Linked DNA regions of Diceros bicornis minor. The protein of the gene in region 2 purifies or fractionates together with the protein of the main gene of each other region. This does not show direct contact. Links are inferred from orthologs where the notes say so. Each region holds a gene or a part of one and is shown on either strand. Other genes may lie near its edges.

Evidence for each region. Proteins that work in one complex are often made in the same cells at the same time.
Region 1: the proteins of VAPA (region 2) and RASSF1 purify together in Homo sapiens (co-immunoprecipitation; 3 studies listed by BioGRID and IntAct, counting the BioPlex papers as one, with this or other methods). This does not show direct contact. The link is inferred for Diceros bicornis minor from reciprocal best matches to the Homo sapiens genes VAPA and RASSF1.
Region 3: the proteins of VAPA (region 2) and RAB3GAP1 purify together in Homo sapiens (affinity purification with mass spectrometry; 4 studies listed by BioGRID and IntAct, counting the BioPlex papers as one, with this or other methods). This does not show direct contact. The link is inferred for Diceros bicornis minor from reciprocal best matches to the Homo sapiens genes VAPA and RAB3GAP1.

Annotation. Positions count from the first base shown.
Region 1 is NC_080741.1:51,363,032-51,366,776, forward strand, and holds the start of RASSF1 (ras association domain-containing protein 1), read right to left. Parts: upstream 2,773-3,745; 5' UTR 2,632-2,772; coding exon 2,382-2,631; intron 233-2,381; coding exon 126-232; intron 118-125; exon of another isoform or gene 1-117. Other genes in the region: ZMYND10 (zinc finger MYND domain-containing protein 10), read right to left, coding at 3,227-3,302, 3,391-3,516, 3,635-3,745. UniProt on the Homo sapiens protein: Potential tumor suppressor. Required for death receptor-dependent apoptosis. Mediates activation of STK3/MST2 and STK4/MST1 during Fas-induced apoptosis by preventing their dephosphorylation.
Region 2 is NC_080755.1:7,896,275-7,900,019, forward strand, and holds the start of VAPA (vesicle-associated membrane protein-associated protein A), read left to right. Parts: upstream 1-819; 5' UTR 820-1,037; coding exon 1,038-1,116; intron 1,117-3,745. UniProt on the Homo sapiens protein: Endoplasmic reticulum (ER)-anchored protein that mediates the formation of contact sites between the ER and endosomes via interaction with FFAT motif-containing proteins such as STARD3 or WDR44.
Region 3 is NC_080749.1:20,666,563-20,670,307, reverse strand, and holds the start of RAB3GAP1 (rab3 GTPase-activating protein catalytic subunit), read right to left. Parts: upstream 2,452-3,745; 5' UTR 2,428-2,451; coding exon 2,410-2,427; intron 2,312-2,409; coding exon 2,256-2,311; intron 1-2,255. UniProt on the Homo sapiens protein: Catalytic subunit of the Rab3 GTPase-activating (Rab3GAP) complex composed of RAB3GAP1 and RAB3GAP2, which has GTPase-activating protein (GAP) activity towards various Rab3 subfamily members (RAB3A, RAB3B, RAB3C and RAB3D), RAB5A and RAB43, and guanine nucleotide exchange factor (GEF) activity towards RAB18.

The DNA.
Region 1 (3,745 bases), on a different chromosome or scaffold from region 2:
GCAGGGAAATCCGCTATTAGAACGCTCATTGCGTGTAATGCCGGGCGGTCCTAGAAACACCTGCAGTGTGGCCTGCTCGTCTACGCGTCCCTGCCTCGCCCATACGCCCCCGGCCCCGCGCTCACCACGTTTGTGTCCCGCTCCAGCGCCGGTTCCCAGCCCAGGTCCCGGGGCCCGCAGCAGTCTAGGCGGACGAGCGCGCGGCAGCGGTAGTGGCAGGTGAACTTGCAATCTGCAGAGAGGCCTGGCCGTGAGGTGGAGGAGTCCCAGCTCCAGCTCGGAGAAGTGTCCCGGGGACGGAAGAGAAGCCCCAGGGGGAAGGCCGTTGCCCGCCAAGCTCTGCATGACCGGCCTTATCTCAGGCCCCGTTACCGCCCACTGCTACACAGATTCTAGTGTTGGTTCCCTGGCGTCTGGAACCTGGCGGGAAGGCTTCAGGCGGTTAGGGATCCAGGCCTGCTCAACACTAGCGCCTAGGGCAGAACTTCCCCCTTCCGCATTGTCAGCCCCCCCCTCTCCGCCCATGTACTTGAAGGGAAAAAACCAAACATCTTTAACCCATGTCCCCCTCTAGTTGTCATCTGTCTTACTCCCCTCACGCCAAAAGTTATCAACACTGGTCTGCATACACTCTAATTCCTTGCCTTCACTCTCTCCTCTACCCGTTCCAGTCAGGCTTGCCCTTCCCTCCAGGCAACTGCCCTGCTCCGGATCCTCAGCAACCTACTGCACTGCCGAATCACGTCCCTTTTGCATCTTCACGTCCTGGGCATCGTTTGATGCTTGCTCCCCTTGGTTCCCAGTTTTTCCTCCCACCTCCCTGCAGCTCCTGCTCAGCTCCTTTGGTTCTGTCTCAACTTCCAGATCTAATGGTGGAGTGTCCGAGGCTCAGTCCTGATCACTGCCCTGTGCTGTGTACACTCACCTACCCCGGATCCAAGGCTTCCATCACTGACCTCCCCCCTCAGGTCAAATCTGTGTGTCAGTATCTTCACTTGGATGTCTAATAGACATTTCAACCCAACATGGTCACAATTTAACTCATTTTTCTTCCACCTCACCCTACCCTTACCAGAGTTTATCTCAGCAAAAATTGCTATTATTCCAGTTGTTTAAGGCAAAAAACCCCTTGGGCTGGCCCGGTGGCGCAAGTGGTTAAGTGCGTGCGCTCCGCTGTAGCGGCCTGGTGTTCGCCAGTTCGGATCCCGGCACACACTGACGCACTGCTTGGCAAGCCATGCTGTGGCGGCGTCCCATATAAAGTGGAGGAAGATGGGCATGGATGTTAGCCCAGGGCCAGTCTTCCTCAGCAAAAACAGAGGAGGATTGGCAGATGTTAGCTTAGCACAGGGCTGATCTCCTCACACACACACACACAAAAGGCAAAAAACCCCAGCTCATCCTTGAGTCCTCCCTTGTCTTTGCCTGACACACACCCAAATTGTCCTGTTTTTCATCTCCATGGCCACTTTATTTCTCTTTGGGAACACTGCAATGTCCCAGTCCTTGTTCATGCTTTGTATTCTGTCACAACTCCTGTGCTCCTCCCAGAATTCAGGACAGACTCCCTGCTGGACGAGAGAGTCTCCATACCCACACAGGCCTGGGATACCTTCCCTAAAGCTCCTACATGGGCCAGAACATGATTCTCAACCCAGGCTGCACATTAGAATGATCTGTGTTTAAAAATCGCTGATACACTCATATACTCAGTGATTTGATTCAACAGGTCTAAGGTAGGGTCCAGGCACAGGGGTTTGGAGGGCTGTAAAAGCATCCCAAGTGATTCTAGCTGGTGTGTAGCCAGTGGGAGAGCAACCTCTGCTTGCTGGTGATTCCTGGGAGGGCAGAAGGACTGCTGGTGTGTGGCTGTGTTTCATGTTTTAGCACCTGGTTGACTGGGCCTGCAGTAAGTATTTGCTAAATGAAGACAACAAAATTCCTGCTTGTGAGGGCCCACCCAAGATTCTTTTTCCAGGACCCCTCCCATAGGTGGGTAAATTCCCTTCACCCCAAGGATTCTGGAGGGGACACAGGTAAGTGAATCTTCAGGAAGGAGCAGGCCTGGGAATATGGACTCAGAGACTGGTAGGCCTTTCTCAAGAAGGGCAAAGGCACTTTAAAGGTAAGAACCTTGAAATCTGCACCTTGTTATTCACAGGCAACCACCTCTGTCCAGCTGTGCCCCAGACGCAGATGGAGCACGGCAAGGATATAAAACCATCTGCCCAAAGACTTCCGCGATGGGGTAAAGATAACGGACCTGGTTCGCGGGGCCCGTCCCTGCTTCTGCCCCCTCCGTCGCAACTTGACCCGCAGCGACAGTGCTGCCCCTTGGCCGCTCGTTTCGCTTTCACCAGCGCGCGGGGGCCGCTACTCACGTGCGCACTGCAGGCCCTTGCGCACGACGCCCCAGATGAAGTCGCCGCAGAGGTCGCACCACGTGTGCGTGGCGGGCTCCGCGGTCTGGAAGCGGTGGCCGCGGCTCGGGACCAGCTGCCTTGCTTGGTTGCGCGTTGTGCCCGGTGCGATGCGCAGCGCGTTGGCGCGCTCCAGCCGGGTGCGGCCCGGGCCGGCGCGCTTCTCGGGTGCCAGTTCCCGCAGCTCAATGAGCTCAGGTTCAGCGGACATGGCCCAGTCGGGCCCGGACTCCGGCCGGCTCTGGGCGCGAGCGAGCGCGGAGCGGGCGAGGCCGTGGGACGGTCTCGAGGCGGCGCCGCGTCAGCGATCCAGGCACAGCGGCGGGAGAGCGCCGAGGAGAGCGGCGCAATGGAAACCTGGGCGCCGGGACTGTGTCCGCCCGCAGGCGGAGTGGGGTGGGAGGGCGGGGTGGGGGCCTTTCCCAGAGTCCCCGCCCTCCCTTTCCTCCCCTCCCCTAACGACGACGACGACCGCAAAGGACCACTCGGAGACAGGCATGTTTCTGGAGGCCAGCTTTACAGTGCTAGAGGAAGAGGGTCCCCACATCCGGCCCTCGCCCTCGCCCTCCACCCAGGCCTCCTGCCCTAGGTTGCTGAGGCAGCGCCCTCAGCCTACCCGCCGGGTGGGGCAGGAAGCCGGCAGCGCTTTGCTGGGGGAGATGGGGCAGCAGCTCTACCCTGTGGGCTGTGTTCACCACCTGGGAGGCTGGGGCTCTGGCAGAGGCCGGGCTGAGATCCCTAGGTTCAGGGGCACACTCAAGGTGAGTTGTATCGCATGGGTGGTTGTCCCTCAGCAGCTGCAGCCTTCACTTGGCTCTGTCACCCTGGGCTGTCCGGACACAAGCCTTTCTATGCTTCTCCCAGTGCTTGACTTGGCACTCCCTGCAGGCAGGTGGCCTGGTGAGGATGCAGTGCTTGTGGGGGGTATGGGAGTGGGGCTTAGGGGTCCAAGGTCCTAGGATGCCCTCACCTGCAGCAATACCACTCATTCTGGCATCGTGAACAGCGTTTGGAGGCCTCTGTGCTGCAGTAGGCACAGCGGGGCCGCTCTGGAGCTACTGCCTCTAGCACGTCCAGCCTGTAGGTCTCAGCCCACCTGAGAAAAAGGGTCGGGAGAGCCTGGCTAGGCCTGGCCAGTGGGAGCACAGGAGCACCCCTGCCCATGTCCAGGCCTTCTGCATCTCTTCCACCTCTTCTACCAGCTCAGGCCTCACCTTCGTGCCTGCAGCCGCAGGTCCTGCTCTGAGGGGCTGAATACATGCCGCAGCTGGTGCTTAGCAATAGCCTGCCACTTGCCTCTGTTCTCTTGCTCTAGGCGCTCCCAG
Region 2 (3,745 bases):
TTTATTTCTAGCTTGATACGTGTCTTGTCAGATTTCCCCAACGACGCATCTGCTTCTTAAACAAGGTGTTTCCTCATGTGCTTTTGCATCACTGGAGAGATTCAGGAAGCAGGCGAGGTTGGACTGGAATACGACGGAGAATTTAGCTCCACCATCAGAGGGATGGATAGAATTGGAGAGCAAACTGACAAATCCTGGCATGTTTTCCACAGGGTATATTTTATATTTCTAACCAGGGACCTCGGGTCAGTCTCCGAAACTTTTTGTTTTTCTTTTTTAGCGCAGAAGAGACGCTCTGAGCGCCCAAGGGAGTGTCGGCGCGCCCACCCCATTCGCCTGGCGCAGATCCCATTCGCTCCCACGGACCCGTCCGCCTTCCCGCCCGCCGACAGCCACTAACACCGCTCCCGGCAGCCATCGCGCAGGGCCGCACACGGGCCGGGCGCGCACGGAGCATGCTGGGAGTTGTAGTGAAGGAGCCCAGCCACGCCTTCCTTCTATCAGGCATTCCCGCTCGGAAGATCGTAATGCACTGCCCATAGCGGGTTCTCCAGTTTCCTAATCCAATCTAAACGTGACCGAGGATTGCGCCCTCCTGCCACGAAGCGCGCACCGCGTGGGCCCCACGGAGCTCAGTCCCTCCCCTGTCCCCACCCGATCCCTTGACAGCTGCGCCGCGCTCCGAGCGGCGGCCAGGCCGAAAGCGCGCAGGCGCACCAGCCCGCGCCACGCTGGGCGGGCCGAGCGCAAGCGGCCCCGGCGCCGGGGCGCGCACGTAGGCACGCAGAGGCCGTCACGTGGGGCGCCGAGGATCGCAGTGCGCGTGGCCGCGGCGGCTGGTGTGGGGTTGAGTCAGTTGTGAGACCCGGAGCTGCGGACCCAGCGGGCGGCCCGGCGCCCCGCGAGAGAGCGGCGGGCGTCAGGGTTCGGGAGCCGTGAGCTGGCCCCTCGCAGACCTCGGCCGAGCCGGCGCCGCTGTCCCCCACCCCCAGCCCAAACCGCCGCCGCGGGCGCGCCCCCGCTCTGCGCTGTCTCCAATGGCGTCCGCCTCCGGGGCCATGGCGAAGCACGAGCAGATCCTGGTCCTCGACCCGCCCACAGACCTCAAATTCAAAGGTAGGCAGGCAGAGGGCAGCCCCGGGGGAGCGTGCGGGAGCTCGGCGCCGGGCCGCGGCCCCTCCCCCACGCCCGCACCTCGGCTCGCGGCGGCGTCCCCGGGCCCGGCCCGCTTCCCCCCTCCCTCCCTCGGTGCCGCCCGGTGCCGCCTCGGTGCCCGGGGAGCCGGGGGCCCAGCCCGCCGCCGCCATCTTGCGGGCCCGCGGGCGCCTCCCGGTGCTGCCGCGCTGCCCGCGCCGGCGCTTGTCCTTGGCCCGGGCGGCGGGCGGCGTCCCGGCGGGCGTGGTGGGCGGTGACCGAGGCCTGGCGCTCTGCTCGGCGGGGAGGGGCTCGGGGGGGCGCGAGTGCCGTGGTTCGCCGTCCCGGACTCGGTTCCGAGAGAGGGCCCTCCGGCCCCCGCCCGCGCAGAGCGCTGCTCCCACCTTTTCTCCAGTTGCTAACTTGGCTGTCGGGTCCGTGAGCGCGGGAGGCGGGGAGCCGGGAGGTCCTCCGGTTCTGGCCTAGCCGGGCGTGCGGGCAGAGACCCGCGTGCGGCGGGGCAGCTCGCGGCAGCCGAGGGTTTGTGGTAGGTCACTAGTAGACGGCTTCCTGGGCCTCTGATGGCACAGTTCAGCTCACTTTCCGCCTAGGCCAGAGCTGCTATTCGTCGACCCTTGTTTCGCCCCTTGTCGCTTTGCTTTTTTGCTGCGGAATCTTCACTGTTGGTGATTTCTGCCTTTACGTTTGAGGTTTCCCAATAAGCCCCGGAGAAGGCTGATAGTTGTCACTCAGCTCTGGGACGCCGTCGATTTACTTTGTAGCAATGCCCGTGGTAAATTAATAGTCTGACTTGGTGAGCCTTGAGGAATCTAAGGGGCTGTTTGGCCCATTTGTTTTCGGTATGTAGGGTAGTTTAGGCAAGAGAGTTAAACTGAGCAGGTTTCTGTTTACGAATACTTAAAGTGCGTGAAGATCCTAAATAGAAAGCAGATTTCTCCGTGTCTTCAGTTAAGCATAAAGTGAGTCGCCGTTTGGAAGATTCAGTATCTTGTATTTCAATTTGGGTAGCTATGATGAGAACACTTTGTGAACTGTGTAGCCATTCCAGTGCTTAAAACAAAATAAATCCTTTATTGTTGTACAAGACTGAATCCAAAAGAAAAACACTTAGATTGTTTTCCATAGGAAAAGGTAATAGTTTTAGAAATTTTAAAATAGTATTTTCTGGTATTATGAGTGTATTTTATAGCTCCTTTATTTTGAAAGCTTTTTACTGCATTTGCAGATTTCTTTGAGTGGCATTGTAAATGAGCTGTTTGTTAGGTAAGGATTTAGTTTTAAGACAACCCTAAGAAATAGTTTGAGAGGCATTAAGAGCATTTTAGTGTGGCAAGTTTATGTGTGTGGCATGATTTTACATAATTTTAGCTGAAAGAAAAAAATACACCTTTGGGGAATCATGAAATTACCTAACTTAGCTATTATCTTAGGTTTGAGGAATTTAATGTAAACCTTTATGGTATATGTGTTCTTTTGAGAATTTAAGTACTTTGCTTTTACTTTTTGACAGGCTGTTTTACAGAGGAAATTTCCACTACTGGATAACCATTATCTGGGACTTAGAAGCCTTTAAAACCAGTTTTAGGCCAGGAAATGTCCACAGAGTTTGAAGCTTTCTCCCTAGAGAAGTTGTAATGTTGCTGTAGTAAAAGACTAATAATAGCGGAGAAGCAGGTTAAAAAAACAACCCAAAACCCTACCCAATGACATATCCATATATTTCACCTATTTTAGGTATTGAAAAATTAACTATGATTATAGAATAGGTTCTTGTATTATGGGTGAAAGTAATTCACAAGGCACATTTTTAAAAGTTTGGACATCAATGACCACCTTTTTAAATTGACTTTAAAAAAGTGTTTCGTTGAAAAGTTCCTAGGGGGACACATTCACTTGGGCCATTTATTTAGCGAATACTTTAGCTTTGTGCCATCCCTATATTTGATGAAGAGTATTCAGCAATGAATAATTCATTCAACAGGTATCAGCTTATATTGGGATTCAGTGGTAAACAAGGTGGAGAAAAGATTCACAATTTGTGATTTAATGGGGAAAGCATACAATTAAACAGGAGTAAAATGTGTTAGGTTTTATCTTTGCCCTTGAAGAACTCCGAGACTAGTGAGGGAGACAGAAAAGGCATCTAGATGCTATAACAGAGGCAAACCGAGTATAAGGAAAGAGTCCTTTTCCTCCTCATTCCTCCTGCCAACCCCCTCCCCTTTACTTTAGGAAGCTTTCTGGGAAGAGGCTCCTTTTCAGTTGGGGAGGGGAGAGGGTTTGGCCAGGGAGTGGTTGTGTACTTAGTAACCACTGATGTGAGAGAATGTATGGTTTCTCCTTAAATACCCAGTGGGTTGCTGTGTACTTCTATTTAAAGGTGGGGTAATGGGGAGGACTGGAAAAGAGGAGGGGTAGGATGAGTTAGGAGGTGACATTTGGAGTCATTTGCTTCCTTCCTCCTTAATGTTATTCTTTTAGTTCAAGATAGTTTGCTTTGATGGAAACCTTTCTGTATTCCAGTGCACAGTTCAACACTAAAATGAGGAGACTCATATAGAATCAACAATCTCCTTATGCTTAGTTTGAT
Region 3 (3,745 bases), on a different chromosome or scaffold from region 2:
TACTGACCACCACATCCCTAATGCTCTGGATTGTGCTCGACACATGGGCACTCAATAAATATTTCTTCAATGGACAAACGATAAAAAGAGTTATGGGCTTCTACTCACTCCTCACAATAAACTATCTGTATGGCTCATAACATACTGACAAAAACTTTCATTCAAACATTAAACTCAAGGTTTAAGAGACTCCAAAGTTTTACCTTTTCCCAGGAATTGTAAAACACTAGTTTCGCTCTGGAAACAAGAGCATAAAAGCCAAAAAACAAATTTCCTACTTTGTGGTAGATCTCATAATTGTGTTAACAATTATTTCCGAATAAAGAATTAAAGGATTTAATATTCCACTTCAGGATTTTTAAATATTTAACTAGGGGAAAGTGATCGTTTTTCCAGTCAATACTCTGATGTTTCCTCACCGACACCCTCCAAGATTCAGGTTACATTTTTCTAACTACCTTCAAGACAGTGAGGTATTATTCTAAATTCAACAGGTCTAAAACTGCACTCTTCTCACTTTGCCACTTTCATATCTTCATTCTTTGAGGCAAGAAACTGCAGTTTCATGTTTGGTTCTTTGTACTTTTACACTTCATCAAGCACATCTATCTAAACCTTTGAAGTGTCTTACAACCCTCCCTCCTATCCTCATTTTCTCTCATCTCGAAATCACCAACCTAACTATGGACCAAAGTAGGTCACTCGCCTTCATTTTGCCTCATCTCTTGAAACAACTCTCACCATATCACTTTGCCATTCTAAAATCAAGGGTCTCTCACTATTGTTCTTTAATGGTTCTTTCTAAGCAAGGTGTCCTGATCAGCAGCATCTGCATCACCTGGGAACTTGTTAGAAATGCAAATTTTGCGGTCCACCTCAGACGTAATGGAAAGTATGATTCTGATGCACAATGAAGATGGAGAATCACTGGTCTTAAAACACTGAATCTAAAGATTCCTTTACTCAGCTTTGGAAGCTGCCCATAACCTGGTCCTATCTTCCTTAATAATCTTATTTATTTCCTTTCAATGGACAGACTTCACTCCAGTAAAGACATTTCTTCCTGGAGTCCCAAAAGTTCATTTTTAACCTGTCTCTTCTCACGTCAGTAACTTCTCATGTCTAACCAACTACTTCCCACTTTCAAGGCCCAACTCATTTCCTATCTTTTCTGTGAAAATATCTCCAACAATTGTAATCCACAACAATATCATCCTTATTTAAACTACTATTTTTATAGTTAGTACCACTTGACTTACAATTTAACTATTTGCTGTTTTGTTTTGTTTGTTTAAACATATGGATTGAGATTTTTGTTTTTTGTTCTCTTCCATTAGTGTAATTCTGGATACAAAGTACTTGCTCAATAAAGCGTTGCCAGTGTAGTTACGTCTCACCAACTTTTCTTTTCTGCAGGGTATCACAGGTCAAATTATTATTCCAGCAAGGATCTTTTACATTTTCCTAGGTCAACCAATGACATGACATCCACAGATTTTGTCTCCCAACCAGAAAGATAATAAAACGTTGCAACAAACTAACCCCTGACCACAACACCCAGAAACTGAAGGGTCTCTGAGCCACCGAACAGAATACTTCTCATCTAAGCTATCACTCCTCCACAAACTTGGCTTTCAACTAATTTCAATGACACAACGATTTCACTCAGCTGTTCAATGGAGTTTGATAGGCACAGAAAGCCTGGGCACATGACCCACTGAAATGCAACAACTTGAATCAAAGCGTTCCAAAGCCATATGCAGACTATTTTAAAAGGTTATTCTAAAAGACAGGATGGAGATGGTGGGAGTGTGGCAGATGGACAACCACCAATGCTCTGAAGGCCTCCTCCTAAGAAGGATATACCGACGTATACAGGAGGAAAAAAAGCACTGCGAAATTTACTGCTTAGAATAACAAAGAGTTAAACGGAAACGAAAAGTGGAACGGAAGTGGTAGCCACGGAAATTGTAAATGCGAGTGGGCAACAACCAAGGTCTAAGGAAAGTGGCCTGAGAGTAAACAAAACTTTTTCTGAGAGCCGGAGTCTCAGGGCTTGGCTGACGGGGGCGAGCTGGGGCTTGTCAGACGCCAGACGCAGAAGAGGCCTGCAAGCTGACCAGAGAGGGGAGGAGGCGGAGGCCTGCGGGCCCAGGAGTCTTAACAGGCGTCACAGGTGGACCGTCTATGTTGGGGAAGCCGCGGGGGGACGCCGGGGCCCGAGGCACCCGTAACCAACGACACGACTCACTCACCTTTCCCATTCCGAGGCAGTGGTGAAGTCCGTGATCTCAAACACCTCGGACTCGGGCTGCGGGAAAGGGAAGGAAAGAAAGAGATTGAGTCTCGGGGCGCTGACGTGGAGGAGCGAACTTAGAGACAGGGATAGATAAGGAGAAAACACTTCACCTCACTATCGGCCGCCATCTTGAGGAGCGCCGGGGCGGGCTCTAGGGCTGCCGGGAAGGAGAGCGGGAGGGCGAGGGGAGGAGGAACAGGAGGGCGGAGGGCAGGCGGGGGCGGGGCCTCCGCGCGGCCCCGCCCCCGGAGGCACCGCCCCCTGTTAGTGTGTCCGGCTTGGAAAAGTCTTCTTAGGCAAAAATCATTAGATGAAAAAAAAAATGCTTTAAGTTTGAAATTTCCCTGTAACGAATTCAGAAAAGGAACAGAAGAAAGGAGATAAGACAAGGCCCTATATTCCTGTGGATAAGATTGTATTAAAAAACCTAAAGCACATTGAGTTTTCATTCAACCTCTATTTATTGATTGCAAGGCACTGAGCTAGGTGCTGTAACATCCACCCTCCCTCATCCCCCCTTAAAGAATTTACACAGTTTGGTTAAGTCATGAGATAAAATCATCATGCTAGTTATCTGGTTTCTGGGAAGAACAACATGCTGTTCAATGAACGCTTTACTTTTTAAGCCATTGAGGAACAGAAGAGTGCCAGCTAGCAGTTAATAATTATATTTCATACATACTAAAGTATTTACAGATATGAGACCAGTCTAGGATCTGCTTGATAATAATGGGAGGAGGAAGTGAGTAGGGCTAGAAATAAAACAAGATTAGCTATGAGTGGATAATTGTTTAAGCCAGTAATGGGTACATGGGTGTTTATAGTATTTTCTCTACTTCTGTTGGGTCTGCAATTCTTCATAATTAAAAGTTTTTAAAAATTAAATCTCATTTAATGAGTTTTTCAACCCACAACAAGGAATTTGGAGGTAGAGGACTAAGGAATTCGGCTTCAGCAATAAAAAATTTAATCTTAAAATAAGAGAGGTATCAAAAATTTGGTGATATAGATAGGGCAGATGAGGAAACTAAGACCAAAAGAATTTGACAACAGATGGTTATTGCCAGTGCCAAGCCTTGAACCCCTGTCTCTTGATGTTCTTTCTAGTTTCTGTCCACTACACTAGTGGTGGGTTGTGAGTTACTACTGCAACAATCTTTCCCAAGAGGTCTCAACTTACACCTTCATTCATTTACAAGCATTTATTAAACACCTACTATAAGCAAATCACTATGCTAGGCTCTGGGGATATGAAGATGTATTGTAGATCTAGTCCCTGACTTCAAGGAACTCAGAGTCTAGTAGGGAAACTGGAAATTTGCTGCATGAACAGAAAGAGGTGCTACATGTATCAGCGTCACTATTAGCAACGTGGAGGTCAATGAGAACCTTGACAAGAAGAATCTTGGAGGAGAGCTGAAGGATAAGTTGAGAGCAGCCAGGTTG